2 linked regions of the Stegostoma tigrinum genome follow. The protein of the gene in region 2 interacts with the protein of the main gene of each other region in a biochemical or structural test. Links are inferred from orthologs where the notes say so. Each region holds a gene or a part of one and is shown on either strand. Other genes may lie near its edges.

What was found.
Region 1: the proteins of msh4 (region 2) and mlh3 form a complex in vitro, tested with the Homo sapiens proteins (2 studies listed by BioGRID). The link is inferred for Stegostoma tigrinum from reciprocal best matches to the Homo sapiens genes MSH4 and MLH3.

What each region holds. Positions count from the first base shown.
Region 1 is NC_081363.1:861,156-869,972, forward strand, and holds the start of mlh3 (DNA mismatch repair protein Mlh3), read right to left. Parts: upstream 3,265-8,817; 5' UTR 3,233-3,264; coding exon 1-3,232. UniProt on the Homo sapiens protein: Probably involved in the repair of mismatches in DNA.
Region 2 is NC_081361.1:100,898,632-100,907,565, forward strand, and holds the start of msh4 (mutS protein homolog 4), read right to left. Parts: upstream 3,309-8,934; coding exon 3,166-3,308; intron 1-3,165. UniProt on the Homo sapiens protein: Involved in meiotic recombination. Required for reciprocal recombination and proper segregation of homologous chromosomes at meiosis.

The sequences.
Region 1 (8,817 bases), on a different chromosome or scaffold from region 2:
GAGTTGGAGGTTTTGCACACTGCTGTTCTGGCTGAAGAAGGTCATTGAAACTCTCACAAGGTTGGCGAGAGCTGAGGGAACTTCCTGCTTTGGATTCTTCCCTTTTCTCATCAGCAGCATGTCCTTTATTAAGGTCCTTTAACTTGGACAATTTTGCAGCAAGGGTTCTTCGAGGCTCCTTGCTAACTGGAGAGGTTTGTTTGGCTTGTGAATAACCAGGCATTGTAAACGGAGTGGCATGTGCCCTGGCCACACGACCAGTAACTGGGAAAGTTCCAACTGAATGCAAATTCCTTAAAAGACTATGGCAATCACACTGATTAAGCTGCAAACTCTCACTCTGGTCACTAATTACAGAACCAGTAAATCCGATACTGGTGTTTTGGTGTAGCCTCTCTGTTCCTGGGGTTTCAGTCACATTAAACAGTGATGGCCTTTTGGTTGCTTCACCAGTACTGTCCTGAATAGGTGCACTGCCTTGAGAAGAGCCTCCACCATCCTGGTCATCATTGATTTTCCCATAGTTTCTCCGAAATACATCCAGAGATCCAGTTATTAGAGACATGCCCAGCTTTCTGTGGAATCTCGCCTGACAACACATGGGCTCACAGTTGACAGGAGTTCTGTTCTCCAAACTGGTGAGATATTGTGGTAAATTCATCTTCTGAGAGATTATCATTGATTCTGCAAAGGTCTCAGATGTATGGTGAGGCTGATGAGTATCCTGAATTTTCTGACAGTCAGTCACAGAACCTCGGGGAATATCTCTCCCACTTTTCTGACATATGTTTGAGAGCACTCGGTCATCAGGCAGGAGCTGTCCATCTCCCTTTCTCTTCCTTTCATTCAGAATCTCCCAAGCACTCACTGGACCCGGACGATGGACATGACTCCAGTCTGAAGAGCTAACACTTACAGTGCCTACTTCTATTGTTTTTCTGGGGACAATGTGGGTTATGAGACCAGTCGTACTCAATTCCACCATCTTTACTCCCCGCAGCACCCCGTCCTTCTGCCATTCCACCTCAACTTCCTGCTCCCCACACAGCTCCTCCACCCACTGATTCCCCTGTGATTCTCCAGCCTGCTTCTCACATGGATCCCCCATCTGCTCCCTTTCTCTCATTTGCTCCCCCTCTTCTGCCTGCTCTCTTCGGGATTCCCCCACCTGCCCCACATCTCCTGCTTGCTTCCCCTGCAACTCCCTCACCTCTTCCCCCTGTGATTCCCCTGCCTGCTCCCCCTGCAACTCCCTCAGCTGTTCCCCCTGTGATTCTCCTGACTGCTCCCCCAGTGACTCCCTCAGCTGTTCCCCCTGTGATTCCCCTGCCAGCTCCCCCAGTGACTCCCTCAGCTGTTCCCCCTGTGATTCCCCTGCCTGCTCCCCCAGTGACTCCCTCAGCTGTTCCCCCTGTGATTCCCCTGCCTGCTCCCCCAGTGACTCCCTCCCCCGCTCCCTCTGTGGTACCCCTGCCTGCTTTCCGATCCCCACCTTTGCTTGCTTCTCCTCTTGTACGGGGCTTTCAGTGACAGACAAGGTCCTATTCTCATTGGCAGTTGTGAGGAGGCAAAGAGCTGTGCCAGGCTGTGCTTGCTGTGTTGATTGTGTCCGAGAGCTGGCTGATGTACTCAGGTCTCTGAGCAAAATGCTTCCCTCCTTTTCCAATGGAGACTTGTCACTTGTGGCTGTTTCTTGATATGCAGAACGAAGGCTGTGCCTTGGGGATTTAATGCAGGACAGGCCACTCTGTTGACCATGCAAGGCTGGATGTTTGATGTCGTCACAGACTTGCCCCTGACAGACAGCATCACAGGGTTCGGAATGTGCTGCCAACCTTGGAATGTTTCGAACCACTACCAGACGATGGACTGATTTGGACAGCACTGCTACTCTTTCATGTGAGAACCTGAAGTCCAAGCCAGCAACAGGGAGCGGGACAGGAATCTGCTCCTCTGTGGGGTCAACCAGTAACTGTTCCTGTCGCAAGAAGGCCTGGACCCCCTCCTCCAGCAAACTCAGCAAAAGATTCCAGTCAGTGAACTCTAGCAAGGTCTTGTTTGTCTCCCAGCAGGCATCATACTGGCTACGGTTGCAGTTGATGTTGATGATATAGACAGGGTGAAGATCAGAGCCTCCCCGGGGCCCAGTGCCAGGTTCAGGCTGACAGATTAAGCTGTGTCGCCTCAACAGTGAGTCCAGCTCCTTGTGGATACGGGTTTTAAGCACCAGTCGCCGGTTGACAAAGACCAGTCGCTGGGCTTTGCTGTGGTGGCCCTGACGGCTGATGAAGCCACTCAGCTGGAAACCATTGGATGAGTGCTGGATACAGCATAGCGTTGCTGCCTGCTGAGAGCCATGGATCTGAGCAAAGCGGGCCTGAAGGTTACTGACTTTGGGAAGCCTCACCACCAACGAGCCTCCAGCCGCAGACGAGGCTTCATCACGTACAGTGAACGAGACCCCAGGGTAGAGAAAGCTCAGAGCCTGCACTCGGCGGCGGATCTGCTCCCACTCCAGGGGCCGACCAAGGCGGCGCTGCCTCACTGGCAACTGGTAGAAAAGGTTGCAGACGGTGACAGTGGTTCCGGGACTCGGCCTCCCCGTCTCAGCCTCACAAACCGGCCGGGCATGCCCATTGCGGAATAGTTTCACCCAGGTCCCACTGGAGCCCTGCGGCCTGCTCACTATCTCCAGCAGTCCTGACAGGTGAGCAATGCTGGCCAGGGCCTCACCGCGGGCGCCAGGCCCTGGCAGGTCAAGGTAGCTGGGATCACCATCGTCTTCTCCCTTGGGACATTTCCAACCCCGGTTCCCAGGACCACCACCACCGCCTGGGCCGTCACCACCATCGCTCCCTGGGCCACCACCCCATCCTGGGTCACTACCACCCCTCCCTTGACCACCACCACCCCCTGGGCCACCACCTGCCCTGGGAACACACGTATACCTAGGATCACCCCCACTCCCACTCCCACTGCAGTAGCGCGTGCCCGCCAGCTCCAGGGCCGCGCGCTCCAGGCCCGCCCCGTTATCGGCCACCTGCACGCGCCCAGCCTGCGCGTTCACACGAGCGGCCGCGCAGCCGCAGCCGGCCTCCAGGCTGTTGAGGAGCAGCTCCTCGAGGCACCGGGCGAGAGAGGGCACCGCCACCCCGGAGCGCAGAGCGGCCTGAGTGTCGGCCGCCAACAGCCGAAGCCGGCCACGCTCCTCGGCCACCGCTCGGTCTGCCATTCCCGCCGTAGGCTCGACCCATCGCCACTAGGCCGTGTTACCATGGAGACAGGGCGCGATTGCGCATGCTCCGTGCTCGCGGCCTCCTGGGAGATGTGCGCCGGCGAGCTCCGCGCATGCGTGTTGGCGAATGCAGTAGGAAGCACTAGGACAGTGAAATGCCTGTATCCTCCATGATGCGTCTGACACAAACAGAGGCACATCTGACAGAATTCAAAATCTAATAAGGCCATTATAAATAGGAACACCCCATCGAGACTAATCCTTACTGACCCATCAGAGATAATAGGAACTGAAGAATCCGAGGTAACAAGGTGTGGAGTTGGATGAACACAGCAGGCTCAAGCAGCATCTTACTGACCCAACGTTCCTCCTCATCAACATTTCCCTGCCCCTTTCCCCATTAACCCTAAAGGTAATGATGGTCAGCTTCCCCAACATTAACTGGAAAGGTGTGAAAGTTCAGAGGGAGCAGAATTATTAAAATACACCCAGAATAGTTTTCCTTTAAACCAGTGTGTACAAGATCTCACCAACTGGACTGAATTCTTTTCAGAGATGACCAGATAGGTTGGATTTCAGCGAAGCTTTTGACACGGGAGGCTGATAGTAAAGGTGAGAGCTCATAGGATCCAGGATATTTGGCTAATTGGATCTGGAATTTCCTGAGTGGCAGCATGATGGCTAAGACAAAAAATAATAAATTGCTGAAGATATTCAGCAGGTCTTGCAGCATCTGTACAGAGAAAATCAATCAACAGTTTGGATTCAGTGACACTTCATCAGAACTAGAATCGATGCTCATGGTTGAGAAGTGTTTTTGTGATTGGAAACCTGTGCCTAGTGGAGTTCTGCAGGGACCAGTGTTTGGCCCTTGTTTGTGGATAATATAAATGATTTAGACTTGAATATAAGGTGGTTGATTGCAAAGTTTATGGATGATATAGAAACTGGTGGGTTAGTAAGTAGTGAGAACGATGATATTATAGCCTTATGTCGGAAGGACATTGACTTGTCAGATGGGCTGATCGGTGGCAATTAGGAACATAGATATAGGAGCAAAGTTAGGCCATTCAACACAGAGTCATGAACAGAAACAGACTCTTTGGTCTAACCAGTCAATGCTGATCATTATACCAAACTAAACCAGTCCCACCTGTCTGCTCCTGGCCCATACCCCTCCAAACATTTCCTATTAATAAAGCCATTTGGATGGATTTTAAATGTTGTAATTGTACCTACATCCACACTTGAACAACCCTCCGTGTAAAATATTTGCCTCTTATGTCTTTTTAAAATCCGTCTCACCTTAAAGATGTGCTCCGGTCTTGAAATTCCCTATCTTAGGGAGAAGACAACTACTATCAACTCTATCTATACCTGTCATTATTTTATAAACTTCTATCAGGCCACGTCTCAAACTCCTATGCTCCAGTAGAAAACATCCCAGCCAATCCAGCTTTTCTTATAACTCAAATCTACCATACCCAGCAACATCTTGGTAAATCTCTTCTGAACCCTCTTCAGCTTTACAATATGCTGTGCCAATTGATTGTGCTGAATATGTTTCTCAACCCCTTTGTCCCTATTATCCGTAATCCCCTCACCAATCTAGAACCTATCTATCACCGGCTTAAATGCACTGAAACACCTAGCCTCCACAATCCTTTGCGGCAATGAATTCCACAGATGATCTACCCTCTGGCTGAAGAAATGCCTCCTTATCTCAGTTCTAAAGGGTTGTACCTTCACTCAGGCTGTGCCCTCAGGCCCTCGTCTTTCCTACAGGCAGAAATATCTTTTCCATGTCCTCTCTATCTTGTTTTCTAATTTTCAATAAGATCGCTCCTCAGCCTTCTAAATTCCAAGTACAAGCATTTCTCCTGTAACATGATAGTTGTGTTCTTGTGCAACCTTGTGCTAAAGAAAATTGCCATAGAAAATTGTGTTATAGGAAATTTGCTATACTACACAGTAGAAAGTTTGCGTTATCCAAGCAATGTGCACTATTCATCAATCACGTTACAGCCAATTCATGGTATAGCAGAAATACCTGTACAGGCAAGGACTCCTCATATGACAAGCCCTTCATCCGTAGGATCATTCTTGTAAATATCCTCTGGACCCCCTCCAAAACCAACACATCCTTCCTTAGATGCAGGGCCTAAAACTGCCCACAATATTCCAAATGTGGCCTGATCAGAGTCTCATGCAGCTTCATCAGTACGTCTCTGCTGTTATATTCCAATCTTCTTGAAACAAATGCAAACATTATATTTGCCTTCCTAACTGCCAACTGAAATCTGCATGTTAACCTAGAGAAAATCCTGAATGAGGACTCCCATGACCCTTTGTGTTCCAGATTTCCAAAGCCTTTCCTGGTTTAGAAAATCATCTATGCCACAATACTTTCTTCCAAAGTGCATAACTTCACACTTTCCCACAGTCTCACTGCTTTCTTATCACTAAATGTCCCCCCACTTAGCTTTGTGTCATCTGCAAACTTAGCAAAAACGTCCTCTGTTTCTTCAACCAGATCATTAATGTGAAGTGTGAATAACTAAGCTCCCAATACTGATCCCTAAAGAACTCCTCTAGTCATCAGCTACCATTCTGAAAAAGACACCTTTATCCCTACTATCTGCCTTCTACCTGTCAGCCAATCCTTTAACCATACGAGTAGCTTGCCCCAAACATCTCATCTTATTTAGCAGTCTCCTATATGGCACCTTGTCAAAGGCCTTCTGGAAATCTAAATATGTCACGTCCACTGTCTCTCCTTTGTCTAACTTGCTTGTTAGCACTTTGAGAAATCTGACAGATTTCTCAGGCATGACCTGCCAATGATGAAACCTTGCTGACTCAGCCCTATTTTACCATGGATTTCCAAGTACTCCGCAGTCATAGATACATAGAGCTGTACAGCATGCAAACAAACGCTTTGGTCCAACTCGTGCATGCCAACTACCCTAAAATAAATCGAGCCCCATTTCCAGCATTCAGGCCCATATTTCTATAGACTCTTCCTATTCACATAGCCATCCAGATGCTTTTTAAATGTTGTAAATTGTACTAGCCTCCTCCACTTCCTCTGGCAGCTCATTCCAAACACAAAACTTTCTGCCCCCAGTAGTTGTCTGAGTATTTTCCTGTATTAAATTTCACTCCTCCTTCCTTTTGCAAAACATCAGGTGTTATGACCTCATGAAGCAACACACTTAGCATTTACTTTGGTACCTGGGTCTATTTTCAGGCTGAAATGACTGGCCATCGGTGCCTTTCCTCCCTTCGTAGTTACATTCCTCAGAATGGAAAGTCATTCTAATACTGTAAAATCTTGCCGATGACCGAGATCAAGTTAAGCAGCCTATAGTTTCTTGTCTTCTGTCTCCCTTGTTTTTTAAACTGTGGTGTTACATTAGGTATTTTCCAGTTTTTGGAGACTCTTCCTGAGTTCAGTAATTCCTGAAAGATCACCACAACTGCCTGGGGAGTGTTGCTGAACAAAGAGACCTTGGAGTGCAGGTTCATAGTTCCTTGAAAGTGGAGCCCCAAGTAGACAGGATAGTGAAGAAGCATTTGTTACGCTTCCCTCAGTCTCCATCTCAGGCAACCAGCTTGTAACTGATGTCCATTTCAAGCCCACGGACTCCCACAGCTACCTAGAATACACCTCCTCCCACCCACCGTCCTGCAAAAATTCCATCCCCTATTCCCAATTCCTCCGCCTCCGCCGCATCTGCTCCCACGATGAGGCATTCCACTCCCGCACATCCCAGATGTCCAAGTTCTTCAAGGACTGCAACTTTCCCCCCACAGTGGTCGAGAACATCCTTGACAGCGTCTCCCGCATTTCCCGCAACACATCCCTCACACCCCGCCCCCGCCACAACCGCACAAAGAGGATCCCCCTCATTCTCACACACCACCCCACCAACCTCCGGATACAACGCATCATCCTCCGACACTTCTGCCATCTACACTCCGACCCCACCACCCAAGACATTTTTCCATCCCCACCCCTGTCTGCTTTCCGGAGAGACCACTCTCTCCGTGACTCCCTTGTTCGCTCCACACTGCCCTCCAACCCCACCACACCCGTCACCTTCCCCTGCAACCACAGGAAATGCTACACTTGCCCCCACACCTCCTCCCTCACCCCATCCCAGGCCCCAAGATGACTTTCCATATTAAGCAGAGGTTCACCTGCACATCTGCCAATGTGGTATACTGTATCCATTGTACCCGGTGTGGCTTCCTCTACATTGGGGAAACCAAGCGGAGGCTTGGGGACCGCTTTACAGAACACCTCCGGTCAGTTCGCAACGAACAACTGCACCTCCCAGTCGCAAACTATTTCAACTCCCCCTCCCATTCTTTAGATGACATGTCCCTCATGGGCCTCCTGCAGTGCCACAATGGTGCCACCCGAAGGTTGCAGGAACAGCAACTCATATGCTGCTTGGGAACCCTGCAGCCCAATGGTATCAATGTGGACTTCACCAGCTTCAAAATCTCCCCTTCCCCCACCGCGTCCCAAAACCAGTCCAACCTGTCTCTGCCTCCCTAACCTGTTTTTCCTCTCACCGATCCCTTCATCCCACCCCAAGCCGCACCTCCATCTCCTACCTACTAACCTCATCCCACCTCCTTGACCTGTCTGCCTTCCCTGGACTGACCTATCCACTCCCTACCTCCCCACCTATACTCTCCTCTCCACCTATCTTCTTTTCTCTCCATCTTCGGTCCGCCTGCCCCTCTCTCCCTATTTATTACAGAACCCTCACCCCATCCCCCTCTCTGATGAAGGGTCTAGGCCCGAAACATCAGCTTTTAGGCCCGAAACGTCAGCTTTTGTGCTCCTAGGATGCTGCTGGGCCTGCTGTGTTCATCCAGCCTCACATTTTATTATCTTGGATTCTCCAGCTTCTGCAGTTCCCATTATCACTGTTACATAGAACATAGAACAGAACAGCACAGAACAGGCCCTTCAGCCCACGATGTTGTGCCGACCATTGATCCTCATGTATGCACCTTCAAATTTCTGTGACCATATGCATGTCCAGCAGTCTCTTAAATGACCCCAATGACCTTGCTTCCACAACTGCTGCTGGCAACGCATTCCATGCTCTCACAACTCTCTGTTTAAAGAACCCGCCTCTGACATCCCCTCTATACTTTCCTCCAACCAGCTTAAAACTATGACCCCTCGTGTTAGCCTTTTCTGCCCTGGGAAATAGTCTCTGGCTATCAACTCTATCTATGCCTCTCATTATCTTGTATACCTCAATTAGGTCCCCTCTCCTCCTCCTTTTCTCCAATGAAAAGAGTCCGAGCTCAGTCAACCTCTCTTCATAAAATAAGCCCTCCAGTCCAGGCAGCGTCCTGGTAAACCTCCTCTGAACCCTCTCCAAAGGATCCACATCTTTCCTATAATAGGGCGCCCAGAACTGGACGCAGTATTCCAAGTGCGGTCTAACCAAAGTTTTATAGAGCTGCAACAAGATCTCACGACTCTTAAACTCAATCCCCTGTTAATGAAAGCCAAAACACCATATGCTTTCTTAACAACCCTGTCCACTTGG
Region 2 (8,934 bases):
AGTCTGGAGAGGATAAGAGTGCTGAAGGCGGAGCTGTAGTTGATGAGCAGAGCTCTAATTTTCATGCTCCTGTTATTTTCCAGAACACTTACGTTTAGTCTATAGGAATGACTTCAACTTTGCAATTGCTTGCCATTTCAATAAACCACCCTGATTCTTTCACTAGCAATTCTATCCTGAACCTTCTGCAGTGGTCCATCAAAGTGGAAAGCAAGCTTGATGAATAACAACTCATTTCTCACTTAGGCACTTTACAGCAGTATTGTTTAATTAATTTGCAGGATGTGGGAGACACAGGCCGGCTTGCAATTATTGCCTGACCCTAGTTGCCCTTGAGAATATGGTGGTGAGCTGCCATCTTGAACCATTGTATTCACACACTTTATTAAAAATAACAAATCCAGCTGTGAAAAGCTGTACCATTTACCTGGCAAGCTAGGATACCCATACAATAACATGTAAAACACTTAAAAGAATGCAAGATTGAATTATTTTTAATTCATCAATGTGATGTGGGCAGTGCTAACTTGGCCAGCATTTATTGCATATCCCTAGTTGTCCAGAAGATGGTGATGACCTGCCTGCTTGAATCGCTGCAGTTTGGTTCAGGAGTTTCAGAATTTTGATTTAGCAACAGTGTAGAAAGGCATTATAGTTTCAAGTCGGATGAGGTGTGATTAGCAAAGGAACTTGTAGCTGAACGTGTTTCCGTGAGTCTCCTGCTCGTGTCCTTCAAGGGTAGAGGTCACAGATTTGAAAGATGCTGCTGGAGCGCTCTTGGTGAGTTGCAGCCTGTGTAATAGTGATGAGGGGAATAAAAACCGAAGTTACTAAATTTCCAATAATGGGTTACTTTGTCCTGTATCTTGATACCAACACTGAGTTAACACTGTGTGAAGGTGGATGAACACAGCAGGCCAAGCAGCATCAGAAGAGCAGAAAAGTTTGATGTTTCAGGTTGGGACCCTTCTTCAGAAATGGGGGAGGGGGAAGGGGATTCTGAAATAAATAGGGAGGTAAGGGGAGGCAGATAGAAGATGGATAAAAGGAGAAGATAGGGTTAGAGGAGACGGATAGGTCAAAGAGGCAGGGTTAGAGACAGTGAAGGTGAATGTAGGTGGGAAGTTAGGGAGGGCAGACAGCTCAAAGGGGCAGGATAAGGTTAGTGGGTAGGAGATGAGGGTGGGGCTTGAGGTGGGGGGAATGGTTAGGGAGGCGGGGACTAAATGGCTGGTTTTGGCATGTGGTTGGGGGAAGGAGAGATTTTGAAGCTTGTGAAGTCCACATTGATACCCTTGGGCTGCGGGGTTCCCAAGCGAAATGTGAGATGCTGTTCCTGCATTTTTCCGGTGGCGTCATTGTGGGAATGCAGGAGGCCCAGATGGACATGTCATCCGAGGAATGGTGAGGGTGGGTGGAGATGAAATGGTTCACGACTGGGAGGTGTAGTTGTTTGTTGAGAACTGAGCGTAGGTGTTCCGCAAAGTGGTCCCCAAGCCTCCATTTGGTTTCCCCGATGTAGGGGCGGCCACAATGGGAACAGCGGATACCGCGTATCACATTAACATATGTACAGGTGAACATCTATTTGATGTGAAAAAAGTCTTCTTCGGATGCAGGTGTGTGTGTGTGTGTGTGTGGGTGGGGGGGGGGCGGCGGCGCTGGGGGAGAAGGTACAGGGGCAGGCGTGGCACTTGCTTCGGTTGCAGGGAAAAGTGTCAGGGGTGGTGGGGCTGGAGAGGAGTGTGGAGTGGACAAGGGAGTCACGGAGGAAGTGGCCCGTCTGGAAAGCACATAAGGGTGGGGAGGGAAAAATGTCTTTGGTAGTGAGGTCAGGTCGCAGATGGCAGAAATGTCAGAAGATGATGCGGTGGATTTGGAGGTTAGTGGGGTGGTACTTGAGGACAAGGGGGATTCTGTTTTGGTTATTCCAACACTCCTGATTCGTGTTGTGTAAATGATGGACAGGCATTGAAAAGATGGGAAATGAGTTATTCACTGGAGAATTTCTAAATGTTGTACCTCCCGATTGGTGCTCTTCTTCATCTATCATGGGATAAGGATGCTGCTTGCTGGGCCATTTCAAAGACCAGTTAAGAGAGAAATTTCTGTGGTTCTGAAGTCACAAGACTGGGTAAGGATAGAAGATTTCCTTCCCCAAAACGACGTCAGTAAACCAGATGGGCTTTAATAAAACTCAATGATAATTTTATGGTAACCAGCTGCAAGAGAGAAAAAAAAGTTAATATTTTGAGTAACTTTGAGACATTGGATGCTGTTTTTGATTCATGGGTTCACGCGCGTGCCTGAAATTACTGTTTGCGCACAAATTTAATTAAAAATTGTGTAGAGGAAATGGAGCCATCTCAATATTTTGAGAGTATAACTATCTGAAAGATATACTATTTTTCTGCATTTGTTCCATATAAAATATTATGATGCATAGTTAGTGACCAGGTTCACTATGATGTGGTTTCAAAATAGTCTCTGTGGCTTAGTTTTTCCTCAATTATAATGTGGTCTGGAATCAAATCAAAGTTCAAGACATTAAGACAGTTTGCTAATATAAACCATAGAAACACTGTGCAGAAAAAGGCAATTCCATCCCAAGCTGATTCTCTGAAAAATACTACTCAGTTAATCCTATTCCTCTGCTCTTTCCCCACTTATTCAATTCTCTGCCTAAAATTATTATTGAATCTGTTTCCATCATGTTTTCAGGCAGCACATTCCAGATCACAACAATTTGGCTTATAAACAAATTCTACTCAATCACCATTAAATTGGGTCCTCTGATTGCTGAGAGCAGGAGCAAAATACTGCAGATGCTAGAATCTGTACTGACAACAACAAATGCAGGAGATTACAGCAAGTCAGACAGCATCCACAGAGAGACAGCAACTAACGTTTCAAGTCCAGATGACTCTTATTCAGAGCTGAAGTAAAGTGTGGAGGGTTCAGCATTTACACTATAGTTTGCGGGGAGGCACGGGGGTAGTGCATATAGGGTGCTGGTGGAGAAAAAAACGTGAATTGTTCAAATTAAGTGATTGGAATCTGAAAATGGCAGAACTATGGTGTCTCCAGCCAGATTTGAAAGGGCAGTAACTGGGATGTTGGGAGTGGAAGACATGATAAAAAGCTAAAAGGGAAGAAATGGCTCACCAATTAAAGGTGTTGAACTCAATATTCTCCATATTGAACTGAAGTCCAAAAGGCTGTAAAATGCCTATTCTGAAGATGAGTTGTTGTTGCTCCAGTTTGCGCTGTGAATCACAGGAACACCGCAGTATGTCGAGAACAGACATGGCCGTGCGAGCAGGACGCTGTGTTAAAGTGACTGGCTATGGGAAAGTCAGGGTCCTGCATGTGCACAGACCGGAGATGTTCTGCAAAGTTGTCGCTCGGTCTGTGTTTGGTTTCTCCAGTGTAGAGTAGGCCACATAGGGTGCAGTGATGACAATACACAAGATTGGAGGAGGTACAGGTGAAATGCTGCTTCACCTGGAAAGACTGTTTAGGCCCTTGGATGGTGTGCAGGAAAGAAATGAAAGGTAGTGTTGCACTTTCTGCAGTTACATGGAAAACACTGCAAAGAGGGGGGAATGGTGTTGGTGGTTGTGGAAATGGGGTGGGGTGTCGCAGATGGAACGATCCCTGCAAAAGGTAGATGGAGGAGCGAGGGGAAGATGTGTTTGCTGGTGGTGTTCAGCAGGAGTTGTCTTCAATGACAGAGAATAATCCTTTGAATACAGAAGCTGCTGGGTCGAAAAGTGAGGACAAGGGGAACCCGATTACTCTATTGAGTGATGAGAAAGGATAAGGAAGTAAGCATGGGTGATATGTTGGACGGGTTTGAGGGCCCTATCAATCAGTGTGTGGGAAACCACAGTCATCGATGAAGCAAGCCATGTCAGCAGCAATGCTTTGGAAGATGGCATCATTCGATAAGATGCGACGTAGGCAAAGGAACTGGGAGAATAGGATGGAGTCCTTGCAGCATGTAGGGTGCAACAAGCTGTAGAGAAGGTAGCGTCCGGAATGAGTGGCTTTGCAATGGATGGCAGTGGACAGTTTATCCCCTCAAATGGAGACAGATCTGAACGTCAAGCCATTGTTGCCAGGACTGTCACCGGTCTCATTACCTCTGGAGATCTTCCCTCCAAACCCCCACCTCCCACCTAGTCGTCTCCCAACTCGTTCCCAAAGTCCACAAGCCATACAGAGCCAGTAGGCCCAAAGTATCAGCCCACCTCATTGAGATCATTTCCTCCTACTTTGAGACTATCCTCTCTCCACTTGTGCCCTGCCCACCTACATTCATGATTCCTCTGATGCTCTCCACCATATTGACAATTTCCAGTCCCCTGGCCCTAACCTCCTCCCGATTACCAAGGATGCCCAATCCCTCTATAACTTCATTCCTCACCAGAAAAGTCTGAGAGCTCTCGGCTTCTTCGTCAACCAGAGGCCTGAACAATCCCCATTCACATGCACTCTCCTCCACCTGGGTGGACTTGTTCTCTCACTGAATTATTTCTCCTTTAATTCATCTCACTTTTGCCAAGTCAAAGGAGTGGCTATGGGCACCTGCATGGGGCACAGTTATGCATCCTTCTTTATGGGGTATGTGGAACAATCCTGTCCCACAACTCTTTTCTCGATACACCAACTGCTTTGGTGCCACTTTGTGCTCCCAGCAAGACCTTGAAAACTTCATTCATTTTGCCTCCAATTTCCACTCCTCTATAACTTTTAGATCGCCCATTTCCAAGACTTCCCTTCCTTTTCATGATCTGCCTGACTCCATTTCAGGGAATAAACTACTCACTGCCCTCCAGTACAAAGCCATTGATTCCCACAGCTATCTTCACTACACAGACCCCATCCTGCAAGGACTCTATCTCATTTTCCCAGAGATAAAGAAATGCTGGGAGTTTGAAGTGGAAGAGATGGAGATGGTAATAGCAGTGCTGATAGAGTTGAAATAACGTAGGATGGGATGGAACAATGAGAAGCATGAATATTGTCAATGACAGCTGAATGGGCTACTTCTGAGTTGTAAATTCAATGGAATTCGTCAAACGACCTTCTATTAAAAGGGTCTATCAGCCACTCCATGTTTTTGTTTTGATAACAATTCTAATTAAAAAGTTGCATTGAACTACTGAGCAAGAATATATTTAAATTTTTCTTTGATGAGATATAAAAATAATTATCAATGAACCTGAGTGGCCAGTCTGGGGAGTACGAAGTTTGCAAGGGGGTCTTGCATTGCGACTGCTGCTGGTAGTGGACGCAGGTGTCTTCCCTATTCTGGTATCATCATAACCCTTCAGTGAAGAACTGCTCTGTGCCGAGACGGATGGAAACAGGTTTTGGTTCCCTATGTTCGAACTTTTATCACCAAAATATGATTCTGTCAAAACAAACATAAAGATGGATTGTAATGAATAAAACATCCACTAACTTTAAGTAATTTTTTTCTTTATTCATTGATGGGATGAGGGTGTTGCTGACTCGGCAGCACTTATTCCCCACAGCTAAGTTATGAGTCAACCACTTTGCTGTGGGTCTGGAGTCACGTGTAGGCCAGACCAGGTAAGGATGGCAGTTTCCTGCCCTGAGGGACATTGGTGAATCAGATGGGTTTTTCCGACAATCGACAATGGATTCACAGTCATCATTAAATTCTCAATTCCAGATGTTTTACTGGATTCAAATTCCACCATCTGCCATCGTGGGATTCGGACCTGGGTCCCCAGAACATTATCTGGGTCTCTGGGTTTACAGTCCAGCAATAATGTCACTAGGCCATCATCTCCCCTTTGTAGCCATACATGTCTATGGTACAAGAGAAGTCCTTCAGCAGATAAATCAAGGCCTTTTTGACATGTTAGGTGAGTCTAAAACTAGAAAGCACAGATTTAAGGGGAGAGGGGAAAGACTCAAAAAGAACCCAAGGGGTAACTCTTTCATGCAACAGGTGGTATGTGGTTGGAACAATCTGCCAGAGGAGATGCTGGAAGCTGGTACAATTACAACATTTCAAAAGGCATATGGATGGGTACATGAATAGAAAGGGTTCAGAGGGACATGGGCTAAAAACTAGCAAATGGGGCTAGGTCAGATTACTGGTCGGCACAGACCAGTCGGACCAAACGGTCTGTTTCCATGCTGTATGACTCTAAGTCATACGACACGGTGGCTAGCACTGCAGCCTCACAGCGCCAGGGACCCAGGTTCAATTCCAGCCTCGGGTGACTGTCTGTGTGGAGTTTGCACATTCTCCCCGTGTCTGCCTGGGTTTCCTCCCACAGATGTGCAGGGTGGGTGGATCGGCCATGGGAAATTGCCCGTAGTGTTCAGGGGTTTGTGGGTTATGGGGGATGGGTCTGGGTGGGATATATCAAGGGGCAGTGTGGACTTGTTGGGCCGAAGGGCCTGTTTCCACACTGTAGGGAATCTAATCTAATCTACACCAGTCTAAAACAAGCACATAGTTATTCTAATCCCATTATCCAGCACTTGGTCCACAGCTTTACATGGTTTGACATCACAAGTGTGCACCTAAATACTCCTAAAATATTATGTGTTTCTGCCTCTACTTTCTTCACAGGCAACGAGTTCCAGAGTACCACCACTCACTTGGTGAAAACATTTCCTCTAAAGGCCCCGCCGCACTCACCTCGGCTCAGGCCACCGTTGCCGCACGAGCCACCGCTCGGTGTGAAACCGCTGGGAGCTTGGTGACCGCGAGACGGCTCCGAGGCCGAGCCTGAAGCCGGCCTCCCCGTAGAAGAGCTAGCGCTTCGGTCTCCCCCGGCGCTGCGGGGTGTCTCCAGCAAGCCGAAGGCATATCGCGGAGGGCGGGCAAGGACGGTGGTGGTGGTGGCGGCGGCGACCGTTTGCGGGTCCTGAAACATCGAGCAGCGGCCAAGACGTCGCGGTCTCCCCCCTGCCTCTCCCGCCTTGTGGGAAGCGCGGAGTTGGCACCACGTGACCATTAACTTGGCACATGCGCGCGGAGGGAGCGCGGGAAGAGACGCCTGAAGGACGCACGTGCTCTGTAGGGTAAGGCAGTGTCTCAGCGGTAATATCAGTGGGTTATTAACGAAAGGCACAAAAACGAGAAATTGCTGGAGGAACTCAGCAGGTCTGGCAGCATCCGTAGAGAGAGTGGGAGAAATCATTCAGTGACTGTTTTTATTCTCTGTGCGAGGTGAGCATCACTGGCTGCACCAGCAATTATTGTCCTTCCGTAGGTGTCTTTGAGAAATCGATGCTGAAGCTGCCTTCTGAACCGCTGAAGACCATGAGCATTAGCTAGATCCACAATGCCATTAGGGAGGGAGTTCCAGGATTTCAATCCAGTGACAGTGAAAGAACGATGATATATTTGCAATTCAGGACGGTGAGTGGCTTGTCAGGAAATGTGCAGGATGTGGTGTTCCCATGTACCCGCTGCCCTTGACCTTCTAGATGGAAATGGTTGTGGGTTTGGAAGGTGCTGCCTGAGGATCTTTGGTGAATTTTTGCAGTGCATCTTGTAGACAATACACAGTGTGATCTGATGGATGGAGTGAAGGTTTAGGGGTCTGGTGCCAGTCAGGTGGCTGCTTTGTCCTATTGAGCTTCTTCAGTGTCTTTAGAACTGCTGACCCAGATTACTCCCATGACGATGGTGGAATTTAAATTCAATTCATTGAAGCATTAAAGATTCTTGAGGGGCTTGACCAGATAAATGTTGACAGGATGTTTCTCCTCATAGGAGAGTCTAGGACTGGAGGGCATAAACTTAGAATTAAGTGTGCCAATTGAAGACTGAGATGAGGTTGACAGTTTTTGGAACTCCTTGCCACAGTGGACTGTGGCAGTAGAATGCTTGTGTACATTTAAGGCCGAAATAGATAGATTGTCGATCAGTAGGGGAATCAAGGCTTACAGGGAAAGGGGCAGGAATGCAGATGTGAGGAGTGTTGGATCAGCCATGATCTTGTTTAATGACAACAGCAGGCCTGAAGGGTTGAATGACCTACTCTTGTTCTTGGTTCTTTATGGTCATGATTCTGAATTGGCAAGGTAGTTCCTCTAATGTTTACCATGAAATGATTGCAGCAAAAGCCCATCTTATTCATTAATGGTAATGAAAATTGCTTTCATTATCCAGTCTGGCCGACGTGTCTTCATTCCCACTGTCAGGAGTCACATGACACCCAGTTATAGTTCATCAGGCTGATTTGAAATCACAAGCTTTCATAGCACTGCTCCTTCGTCAGGTGAAAACTGATGAAGGATGGCAGAAACTTTTGTCCATCCCAGTTCAACAGCGGCATCTCCACATCATTCATATGCACTATCTCTGAAATGGCTCAGCATGCACCTCAGTCCAAGGACAATTAGGTAGGCCTTTTCAGTGACACAGATCGCATAAAATAATAAAAATAAAACTTGCCATCTTGTAGCTCAACTGAAGCACTGGTATGCTAAGACAAACCATCAGCAGCTGCTTCATCAATGATCTTCTCTGGATCCAAGGGAATGTTCACTGATAATTGCACAACTCTCAGTAACTCCTTGGATGCTGTATCCATCTGTCACAAGACGAGGCTGGTATCCAGTTTGAGATGAGAGGTAACAAAATCCCTGCCTAACAGCACTGTGTTTGTCCCTCCAATGCAAGAACTGCAGTGGTTCAAGAAGTTAGCTCACAATTTCCAGGGCAATTAGAGATGGGGAATAAATGCTGGCCTAGTCAACAATGCCCAATCCCATGAATGAATTTTAAAAAATCTCAGACTCCAGCAGTTGTGTCTCACGTGTGGATGTGACTTGATGAAATTGAAGGAAATATTCACAATAATGGTTGCAGGAATGAGGAACTTCAGTTACCTGAATAGATTGGAAAGTTTGAGAGGGTTCCCTTTGAGGACA